Linked DNA regions of Arabidopsis thaliana. The protein of the gene in region 3 interacts with the protein of the main gene of each other region in a biochemical or structural test. Each region holds a gene or a part of one and is shown on either strand. Other genes may lie near its edges. The genes, in order: PP2AA3, FTSH1 and CHIP.

The links.
Region 1: of the proteins of CHIP (region 3) and PP2AA3, one has a biochemical effect on the other in vitro, tested with the Arabidopsis thaliana proteins (one study listed by BioGRID).
Region 2: of the proteins of CHIP (region 3) and FTSH1, one has a biochemical effect on the other in vitro, tested with the Arabidopsis thaliana proteins (one study listed by BioGRID).

The regions. Positions count from the first base shown.
Region 1 is NC_003070.9:4,566,164-4,569,915, reverse strand, and holds the start of PP2AA3 (protein phosphatase 2A subunit A3), read left to right. Parts: upstream 1-2,066; 5' UTR 2,067-2,227; intron 2,228-2,539; 5' UTR 2,540-2,567; coding exon 2,568-2,960; intron 2,961-3,169; exon of another isoform or gene 3,170-3,332; coding exon 3,333-3,579; intron 3,580-3,752. Other genes in the region: AT1G13340 (Regulator of Vps4 activity in the MVB pathway protein), read left to right, coding at 1-294; AHP2 (Tat-binding protein 1(Tbp-1)-interacting protein (TBPIP)), read right to left, coding at 506-604, 688-876, 963-1,033, 1,120-1,387, 1,748-1,773, 1,881-1,908. UniProt on the Arabidopsis thaliana protein: The A subunit of protein phosphatase 2A serves as a scaffolding molecule to coordinate the assembly of the catalytic subunit and a variable regulatory B subunit. Involved during developmental process such as seedling and floral developments.
Region 2 is NC_003070.9:18,615,335-18,619,086, reverse strand, and holds the start of FTSH1 (FTSH protease 1), read left to right. Parts: upstream 1-1,931; 5' UTR 1,932-2,156; coding exon 2,157-3,482; intron 3,483-3,578; coding exon 3,579-3,752. Other genes in the region: NTMC2T5.1 (N-terminal-transmembrane-C2 domain type 5.1), read left to right, coding at 1-29, 189-663, 744-832. UniProt on the Arabidopsis thaliana protein: Part of a complex that function as an ATP-dependent zinc metallopeptidase. Involved in the thylakoid formation and in the removal of damaged D1 in the photosystem II, preventing cell death under high-intensity light conditions.
Region 3 is NC_003074.8:2,358,510-2,362,261, forward strand, and holds the start of CHIP (carboxyl terminus of HSC70-interacting protein), read right to left. Parts: upstream 2,041-3,752; 5' UTR 1,793-2,040; coding exon 1,688-1,792; intron 1,383-1,687; coding exon 1,315-1,382; intron 1,206-1,314; coding exon 1,142-1,205; intron 986-1,141; coding exon 914-985; intron 612-913; coding exon 478-611; intron 388-477; coding exon 234-387; intron 149-233; coding exon 38-148; intron 1-37. Other genes in the region: AT3G07380 (glycosyltransferase family protein (DUF23)), read right to left, coding at 2,815-2,950, 3,333-3,505. UniProt on the Arabidopsis thaliana protein: Has E3 ubiquitin-protein ligase activity and may target misfolded substrates towards proteasomal degradation. Regulates the activity of some serine/threonine-protein phosphatases by E3 ubiquitin-protein ligase activity.

The DNA.
Region 1 (3,752 bases), on a different chromosome or scaffold from region 3:
ATGTCAGATTCAGAAGATATTATTGATGTCCCAGTGATGTCATTCAGAGAAGACCCTGTGAAGCTATTGGAGAAGGATACTATTATCTACGATAGTGAAGAAGAAACCCAACCTAGTGTTGAGACTATTACTATTAGTAAGTCTAAAGATGAGCAAAATCGTATGGTTGGTTCGAATAGAGCGGATACAAGACATGTGGACCACATGGTTCGTTCAATTGAAGATCCTATTATGCGTAAAGCAGGTTTGAAGGGTCCAGTTTCAGTCAGGACAAGACAGGTTCGTGGATACTAAGTACAAATGTTATAAGTTTTTCAGGTGCATCTACGGTGTAATCACTCAGTTTTGTACTTTTCTATGTTCTTTTTGTGGTCAAAGATGTAAGATTATTGTGTTCTTTATGGATATAAGCTTTCAATGATGTTGTACAGTTGCATATGTGTGTGTTTATACAAGAAACGTTTCTAGAAAACTTTGAATCAAATTCGAAGAACTTACCTGAAAATTACTGTCCTCGAGGCCTCTTTTTACCATGTTGAATTAGGTCAGCATATGCCTGGAAACTTAGACCGACATCTTCATCGTATTCAATTCCAAGCTCCTCCTGCAAAGTAACAGTAGTCAAAAATTATGGCGAAGCTGATGTAGTCTGTAAGAAAAAACTCCTGAAGAAATATGAGTTTGCACCTTTAGTTCCTTCACATCTTTGGGAGAATTCTCTGTTACAGTATCCCAAATGTCTCTGAACATCCTCTTACGCTTGCGCCACTGATTAATCTTATCCGCATACATATCTTCAACAGCCTTTTTGTCTTCTGGCCTCACCAATGTAATCCCTTCACGTAGTTTGACCAGTTTCTCTTCCATTTCCTTAACCTGGTACACAGTTGAAATCACTTTATAAGCTATCAACAACCTTACTCAAAGAAAGACAAAAACCAAAAGGTAAGAAAAACATATACCTCTTTCCTTAGTTTGGCATCTTTCTCTTGTATCTCTTCTAGTGTCAAGTTTGACTGCAAACTCTTGATTTCTGCAAATAACATCACAGAACATAACATTATCCAAGCAGCTATATCACATCCTCAAAACCACTGAGAAAAAGTAGTTTTTTCACACCTGATTCCACATCACTGATAGTTTTCTTCTTCTCTTGAAGCTGTTCTTGAAGTTTGGCATTGTCTTCTTTCATTTGAGCAAGTTCTTCAGAGTTTGGAATCTCAAACTGGTCTTGTCTAGCAATGTATATCTTCTGCTTACCATACTCTTTAAACGTGATTTTTCCAGCATCAGCAAGACTATCAAGTGCCTTTTGCACCGCAGTCTTCTTAAGGTTAAACTTTTGTAGAGCATCAGCTGCATTTTGAGTGTTTAGAGGTTTGTTTTGCTGCATCAAAAAAGTACCAACAACACATTCATCAAAATCTAACAACAATAATACAACAGATTGAAACAAAACTTGCAATATATATATATATATATATATATATATATATATAACCTGTATCAATCAATTTTTAAAACCTAGTCAATATCAATAGCTTCAAACGAAAAATTCATGTGTAAACTTATAGCACAAATTGAAACCCAAGTGATTAAATTCCCAGATTCAGAATCATGTGAACATCACTGCGTACCTTAACCTAGACTCAATTTCAAATTCGAATTCTAATTTTTATGGTCGTATCTGTTTGTGATCTCCGTTTAGAATTAAAGCAAAAATGTAGAATCGCAGAGAAGTGCTTACCTCATTGACAAAGTTGAGTACGATAGCTGCAGAAATAAAAAATTCAGGAAACAAGTAAATAAGAGAGAAATCAAAATGAGGAATAAGATCAAAGAGAACTAGCAGATTTTTTTCAGAGATTATATCATTATACCTTCGGTGTTATCCGATTTAGGAGCCATTTTTGTCGAAATAATTGGCGGGAAATAAAAAACCTGAAGCGAGAGCAACTTTTTTCCTTTTCCGATATTTTCTGAGGAAGAAGAAGAGAGTTACTGAGAAGCTTCCTTTATACGAGAGAGATATTAAACGAAGTCGTATTTGTTGGATATATGGGCCTTTATGTATTATACATAAGCCCATTTAGTTCTTATCTTTGACAGGCCCAATTATATGGACACAGCTTGAAGATGGTTTAGCTGCTGCGAAAGACGAGCTCCGGTCTCATTTCTCGTTCTTCTGATTGATAGATCGCTCGGAACTTGGAAAGCAGCGTAATCGGTAAATTCTCGATCATTTCTTCAATTTCGAAACATTTTCCAATTGTATATTGAGAATCTCAAATCGAATTATTGTTTAGATCTTCTCTCTTTATTAGTCTAAGAATGGTAATAGTTTCTCTCTAGATTGGGACGGCACAAAGTTTCAGTTCTCCATTCTAATCATTTTTTAGAGGCTAATGGGTCACCTTTGAATTATCTCAGAGGCGGAATTGAGTTTAAAGTTTGTAACTTTATCGTCTTTTGTATTGATGGTGTCTATGTATGCATTGTGTTTTATTCTGACTTTGTGTACATTTGTGTTTGATTGAAGGTAGGGAGTGATTTGAGTTTTGGTGAGGATGTCTATGGTTGATGAGCCTTTATACCCGATTGCTGTGCTTATCGACGAGCTAAAAAACGATGATATTCAGCGTAGATTGAACTCTATTAAACGGCTTTCTATCATTGCTCGTGCTCTTGGAGAGGAGAGGACAAGAAAAGAGTTGATTCCATTTCTTAGTGAGAACAATGACGATGACGATGAGGTGCTTTTGGCTATGGCGGAAGAGTTGGGGGGTTTTATTCTGTATGTAGGAGGGGTTGAGTATGCATATGTTCTGCTTCCACCTTTGGAGACTCTATCCACTGTTGAGGAAACTTGCGTGAGGGAGAAAGCTGTGGATTCACTTTGTAGAATTGGTGCTCAGATGAGGGAGAGTGACTTGGTTGAGCATTTCACTCCTCTGGCTAAGGTTAGATAAGGCTGGTTTACTTATTTTATCAAATCTCTTTGGTCGATTTTATTGATTCCTTTCCATGCTCTGTCAAACTTAATATTATTAAGCCACTAAAACAGAAGAACATAGATTTTTTGGGGTCCTTTGTCAATTGTCCCCCAAAGTTTGGAAATATGCTTTTCTTGTTCAGTGTTCCCCTTATAGGTGTTTTGGGAAATTGGTAGGTTGAAGTTGTTTACATCCATTTTGGTTGATCTAAGAGAACATCGCTCTGGCTTTAGCGCTCTTTTGGGTTGTGGTTGTGTATGTGACCATACATACCTCGGTATAGGTGCTCGTAATGTGAAACCGACTTAAGCATTACTGAACACTGTCATTGTGTAACAGCGACTTTCAGCTGGTGAATGGTTCACAGCCAGAGTATCAGCATGTGGGATTTTCCATATTGCATACCCAAGTGCCCCAGATGTGCTAAAGACGGAGCTAAGATCAATATATGGTCAGCTTTGTCAAGATGACATGCCAATGGTGCGCAGAGCTGCAGCAACTAATTTGGGGAAGTTTGCTGCTACAATTGAATCAGCTCATTTGAAGACAGACATTATGTCCATGTTTGAGGATCTTACGCAAGATGGTATGCTCTCCCTTATTATATGTTTCGTTTTTCCAGCATATACTCTTACAATTTTCATCAAGCCTAGTTATGGGGGTGGCTGATGTGTAATAGGCAAGTATTAGGGTTACTGCATTGAACACTGACCATTAGCTGAAGTTAAGCAGAATTACGGTTGTCTACATCTCAGCTTC
Region 2 (3,752 bases), on a different chromosome or scaffold from region 3:
TTGCTGATATGGCTATTGGTACTGGAGAGGTAAATAATATTTCCTTGGGTACATATTTTTTTTTGTAATCTGTAGAATAATAGGCGTTGAGTACGTATTCTGTGGATCTCTTTAATGATTGCTTGAGGAATGTTGCTTAATATTTATGTTACTGTCTGCATAGCCTTATTATTTAGTTATATGTCCAGGTTGATCTCAGATTTCTGCAAGATACGGTTCCTACAGACAGAATTGTGGTTTTGCGTGGTGGTTGGAGTTTGTTTGGAAAGGGATCTGCGGGTGAGATACTGCTACGGCTTACATACAAATCATATGTGGAGGAGGAAGAAGATGACAAGACCAATGTCAAAGCCATTGATACTTCTGACGATGAAATGTCTGATTCAGAAGAACTTGGCTCATTTGTGCGGAAGGGAAAGCTTTCGTCAGATGATATTGATCAAGAGTCATTTATGAACGTGTTGTCTGCATTGATTGTGAGTGAGGAGTTTCAAGGCATAGTTTCATCTGAAGCTAGAGACGGTATAATTGATGGTGGTGACTCACTTGGGGCACCAGTACCTTCTAAGCCAGATACTAGTAAGGGGTCTGAAAGAAACGCAGATGTATCAAATTTGGATTTGTTAGTTGCAAATTCTGGTAGAGGAGCTGGCGGTGATGGAGGTATACCGAGGCTCAATCTCTTACGATGATTTCCTTTCTATGCTTTCTTGACCTGAAACTGTAAAACCTCCTAATTTCAGGATTAGCATTACTGTGGTTCGGTATTATCACGGGTATATTGGTTCTTGTTGCTATCAACATGGAAGGCTCAAGTTTCTTCAACCCGTAGTATAGTACTATACATCTCGCTGGAGATTTCTGTTGCAAGTAAGTCTCTTAATATATACCTCGAGAACTTGAAATTTCTTCCCCTGATGTGATTGGACAGACAGATTCTCTTTTTGTCAGTTGTTTTCCTTATATTAGAACGTGGAACAACACTGGTTTGTTCATATAGTCAAGAACCAAACTTGAACTTCTTTTTTCCTAGAATAATTATGCTACTTGAAACATTAAAATTGTAGATTCTGTTACTCTTTCTGCTGCTTGTAGTGTACCGAAAGTCAAAACTGGACATCAGGCTTTGTATTTGATAAAATTATGTGTGAATTGAAAATGAGTCAGTTGATTCTTCTACCTTGTGTGACATAGTTCAGTCCAGATATTTTCATGTCAACCTTTTGCCTACCGTGTGTGATAAGCTTATCAAGGCCTCTTTATTTTGTGGCAGGTCTGGTGGTCATCTCTTCTCAACCTTAGATATGGCTTATAACGAGGTCTCAGTTTTGTAATTTAATTTTGTATGTAAATAGCCATTAGAAGAGGGACTCTTACTAAAGGCAGGAAGGTTTGGATCTATTCTGTCCAAGCTCTCACTGTTGTGTTACTCTTTACACTTGTGGTTGATATACAGTACATAAAAAAAGATAGAAACTTTTGTATATTTTGACCAAAAAAAAAAGAGAAAATTCTGACTTTTCGGAAATAAAATATAATCATCGATTGTTTCAATAGGATTGGTAGTAGGAGCAGAACTTGGTTCGTGGAACCATCCTTCATTTCCATTCCCTTATGGTAAGATTGTGGTATTTCATGATTCTCAAATAAAGTTTGACAAAGATAGACTGATCGAAAAGGTGGAGCCTCTTGTTAACATGGGACAGATTAGTTGTGTCGCCGCTGAATTCCATGATCTCACTGATGGCAGACTCAATAATGGTTATGGTATTGAATGAAGCTCTCACGTCCATGTTCTGTTGAGGCTTACAAGACTGTTCTAGTTGGTGGGGAAGTTGTCCGAACCGGAACATAATCCAAACCGAACTGAATTAAATTTTTAAAATTAAACCGAACTGTCCGACCACTACAAAGTTTTTTCGAATTTGCACATTAAATTAATTAATTTTTGTGGCATTTTGCGATCAGTTAACGAGTGGATATGAGGTAGCAAACGTAGAAAGGACTCGAGAAGTCATGGCTTCTGCTTAATCTCCTCTTCCTTAAAAACCAGAAGATCCTTTGTTCCACGTTTCTCGTTTGTAGCTTCTTCTCTCTCAGAATTCAATTCGAATTTTGACAAGTCTTGACGAAGAAGAAGAAACAGAGCTGCTTCAATGGCTTCTAACTCATTACTACGTTCTTCTTCAAATTTCTTCTTAGGATCCCATATCATAATCTCATCTCCCACCCCTAAAACCACCAGAAAACCCTCTTTCCCTTTCTCCTTCGTCTCCCGTGCTAAATACCAAATCACTCGATCGTCTCAAGACGAAAATTCGCCAAATGGTAAACCCAATTCGCCATTCTCGTCGCAAGTAGCCTTAGCAGCTATTCTACTATCTTCAATTTCATCTTCGCCGCTAGCTTTAGCTGTAGTGGACGAACCAGCTTCTCCGTCTGTCGTTATAGAATCTCAAGCTGTGAAGCCATCGACGCCATCGCCATTGTTCATTCAGAACGAGATACTTAAGGCTCCTAGTCCTAAATCATCGGATCTCCCAGAAGGATCACAGTGGCGATACAGCGAGTTTCTTAACGCTGTGAAGAAAGGGAAAGTCGAGAGAGTTAGATTCAGCAAAGATGGTTCTGTTGTTCAGCTTACTGCCGTCGACAATCGCCGTGCTTCAGTCATCGTCCCTAACGACCCTGACCTTATTGATATCTTGGCTATGAACGGAGTTGATATATCCGTCTCTGAAGGAGAATCCTCAGGCAATGACTTGTTCACTGTCATTGGAAACTTGATTTTCCCGCTTTTGGCCTTTGGTGGACTCTTCTTGCTTTTCAGGCGAGCTCAGGGAGGCCCTGGTGGTGGTCCTGGTGGCTTGGGTGGTCCTATGGATTTCGGACGTTCTAAATCCAAGTTCCAGGAAGTGCCTGAGACTGGTGTATCATTTGCAGATGTTGCTGGGGCTGATCAAGCTAAGTTGGAGTTACAGGAAGTTGTGGATTTCTTGAAGAATCCTGATAAGTACACAGCCTTGGGTGCTAAGATTCCTAAAGGGTGTTTGCTTGTTGGACCGCCTGGTACGGGTAAGACACTCCTGGCTAGGGCGGTGGCTGGGGAAGCTGGAGTGCCGTTCTTCTCTTGCGCGGCCTCGGAGTTCGTAGAGCTTTTTGTGGGTGTGGGTGCATCGAGAGTTAGGGATTTGTTCGAGAAGGCTAAGTCTAAAGCCCCTTGTATTGTATTCATTGATGAGATTGACGCTGTGGGTAGGCAGAGAGGAGCTGGGATGGGAGGAGGAAATGATGAGAGAGAACAGACTATTAATCAGCTGTTGACAGAGATGGATGGATTTTCTGGCAACTCTGGTGTGATAGTTTTGGCAGCTACGAATAGGCCGGACGTTCTTGATTCGGCTTTGTTGAGGCCTGGAAGGTTTGATCGACAGGTCACGGTGGATAGGCCTGATGTGGCTGGCAGAGTCAAGATTCTTCAGGTTCTTTTCATAGCTGTTTTATAAAGGTTACTGGTTTGTCTATGGAGTTATGTGAATGATTCTTATTTCTCTCTATGGGGTTTGGTTTTATTTTAGGTTCATTCTAGGGGGAAGGCACTCGGTAAAGATGTGGACTTTGACAAGGTTGCCAGAAGGACCCCTGGTTTCACGGGTGCTGACTTACAAAACCTGATGAATGAAGCGGCGATTCTTGCGGCTAGGCGTGAGCTTAAGGAAATAAGCAAGGATGAAATCTCTGATGCTCTTGAG
Region 3 (3,752 bases):
ATTAAGGCTACAAGAAAAGAGCGATGATAATGCAAACCTTCTTGAGATGTTCAAGGATTGCTGCTCTTTCATATGTAACCCCACTTGGAGAAATTACAGGATCTCGGAAAATCTCAAGAGTTATATTGCAACATAAATAATCTGGCACCTGAAAAGAAAAACCAGAAATGTATTTGACCTCAAATATAAATGAACGATGGGTCTTAAAAGCTTTTAAAGAAAATTTAATGCACCTCAGTTGGTTTATCTTCTTCTGCAGCTTTCTTAAACACTCGTTCAAGAGCTTTCAAACGCTCAGTATGGGCAGTATATGCTTCGTCTGAGGACTCTTCTGTTCGAGACATATCTAAAGCACGTTGTTGATTAAGAGCAGCCTCACAAGTTTCCCTAACACAAACATGAATAGTTCCATAAAGCCACAAAAGCACAGTTCCAAGTCGAATGATAGCACTGGATTAAGAAAGTTACAGAACCTACTTCAAACTATTCAGTTCCCATGACCGCATTGCAGAAACCAGTTCCCACTCCATGTATTTTGCTTTAGAAAGCTCTTCCCATATTTCTTCTACCATATATCCTGTTGGATTCGAGCATCTTCCAAGATCTAAAGCCTATATGAAACGTAGCTACATGAAGTTAACAGGAAACAGGTATCAAACCAAAATTTGTTTGCAGTATTTGATGGCATAAACAAACCAACCCATCTCTAGTGATTTTTCTAACTAAAACAAGTGTCCACAGTATCCACTTAGACATCTTTCAAAAGGAAAAAGATGGAGATTCAAGTGGTGCCTCACATCTTCATTAAGATGCTTGGAAACTACACTACTTAGGTCTCAACGTTACGACTTAAACAATCATGTCCACTGATAAATTTTACAGAAAAAAGCTTAGGACTAACAAAGATCCTTACCCTTTGCAATTCTTTGACTCCATTAGTAAATTCTTTCTTCTGCAATAATGCAAGTCCTAGCATGTAGTGTGCCTGCCACAGAACATAATTGTAAAATCCTCATATGATGGAGAAGAAAGGATCAAAGAAGGCCAAGAAAAGATAAAACAAAACAAAAAACTTGACATATTCCATACATAGCACACCAAGCAAAAGAATTCCATTTAGATATAATCAAAAGAGTCAAACCTTGACGGAATTGTGGACAAGCTGAATAGCTTTGCGACAATCCTCTTCAACCTTAGTCCAATCCCTAAATTTGATGCAAGCAAAGAAGCCAAACATGAACCATAAAGTATTTGGGCATTAGGATTGCCTAATCAGAAGTATGTATAAAATTTGCTTGACAGAACAATACTCACTTTCGCTTCATGTGGCAAAGTGCTCGATTGGTCCAATAAGCAGGAACATTTGGAGACAAAGCTATTGCCTACTCAATTACACAAAAAAAAAATGATAAGAAAAACCACTACAATTGAATAAGCCTGAAGTTTCTTGATGACTTATAACGATGAGCACATAAAAGATTCATAAATTCCATCAAATGTCTATTCTCGAATTGTACACTCCATCAAAACCTAATTTGGATGCAATTAAGTTCTGATTCACAAACGAATTGTCCAATTTCGAAATTATAATCAAGGGTTTATTACTCTACGCAGATCTCAATCAAAATCTCGGAAAACACAAAACCCTAACGATGAAATTGAGAGAAGGAGAGTGAGAACCATGTACCTCGGTATAAGCATCAATGGCAGCACCAAAACGTTCTTTCTTAAAGCAATTGTTTCCGTCTTCCTTTAACCGCTCCGCCATGGCGGAAGCCACGCCTGTAACCATATCTACGGCACCCCAGAAAACCAAGTCTTTATCCTTTCCAACACTCCTCTGTAACTTGTGCGACGGCGCGTCCCGGTGCGTTTCAGAAGAGAAGTAGCCGCGAAATTTCTCGATGAAAGGAGAGAGAAAAGTAAGCAAAAGGGAATTTTAAATGAATCGGTTATCGAAAGAGATTAGTCTCTTTACCGGGTCAGCTCGATGAGACTTGGATCATAATCCGGATCTTATAGTCATTCTTTTTGTTTACTACCATAAACCGGTCATTGGGTTAATTGTAAATTATTTATACAACTAGGATTAAACCCGCGGTTTCCCGTCGCGCGAAGGCTTTTATAAATTTTTTATTAAATAAATTAGTGTGTGTTATATTAAAAAATAGTAACATATATTTAGTTTTTTTAAAACTGGTATAAATAATGATTGGAATCTTTTATTAGTATGGAGACTATTTACTGATTAGAATCATGTATTTTATTGTGTTTAAAGTTGTGTATCAATTACTAAATGTGTATTTGATATAAGTAAAATGGTGACAAAAATATAATATAATGATAGATGGTGTAATTATTTTGTTGATTATAAGATCTTTAAAAACCAAAGTTGGTATGTTTTATCTTTTATTTTTGGCAAAACAAAGATAATAACATTTATGAGGAGACCTTTTTTCTAAATCATACAGAATATTTATACTAAAGAGTATTTTGAAGCTGTATTAATGATCCCATTACCCAAATTATATGATACAATAAAAGAATATACCCCCAAAAGAAAACAATGCAAAGTAAATCATCTTAACACCTAATTCTTCTTTCTAAAGATTGATTAGATTCACTATTCATGTTTTTCATCTCTTCATTGTCTTGTCCGTAGCAGCCGATCACCAATCGTTCTCAACTCGAACGTTCTCACAGCAAGGCCAACATCACGGATTGTAGTGTCTAGCACATAAGGAGTGCGTGCTCGCGGCGCTGAGAGATCGAACCATGGTAATGGAAGTAACGGATTTTGCTCTCAGCCTTGTGCTATGTCTTCCCTTGTAGATTCTGAGACATGTGTACGCCTATCGCGAATACATTCTCCGGCTGGACCGCGTATTTCCGATCCCGTCTTGGAACCTTCTTGACGTCTCTATATGCCAGTTTCTCAATTCCCCATTTTCTGAAACACAAAACCAAAATACCATTTAGATTAGTCCCTGAACTAAACCAAATCAATAACCGATATGTTCCCTCCTAAAAACAGAAAATATACAAACCAATTACAATTCAATATTTGGTACAAACAAAAGAAATAATCTTTACAACATTTCTCACTAATATCATGTGATGTTCAATAAAAGCAAAGATCGTGACCGACATAGGAGACTAATACAGAATGCACAAAGACTTTTACAGGCCAAGTGTTGACAGAATCAGATGCTTATTGATATTATATGTCACCTTCAAAAAACTTGTGACTAATATTCTAAGTCACTCAATAAACAACACATGGGCTTTGGTTAACGTTCAATCATTAAAATCAACAAAGTTATGAATGTTACCTGTAAGTTCTGGCCGGGCCATCACCGGAATAACAAACCTGACTACTCATAGGCATCAGTTCAATAGTAAACTGAAAATATTCCTCCAAAGATTCCATCACAGACGAAATCGTCTCTTTCACCGGAACATGTAAAAACTCATCAACATCAACGAAGAACATCCACTTCGTCATGAATACTTATGCAAACAATCATTCACTATCATGAATTGATTATGATAATAACCATCGAATCGTTCTTGATCTCAATTTGGTTTGTGATGAGAATGACTTTGATATTTATAGTGATGAAGGAGGCTAGGGTTGTTGGATCTAATATTTTCAAAAATATTCGAAAATATCTTGCAGGATAAGTTGCAAATCAAAGATTGGATCCTCACTAATGATTCGAATTTGGTTTAGTTCATAATGATTGGCTATA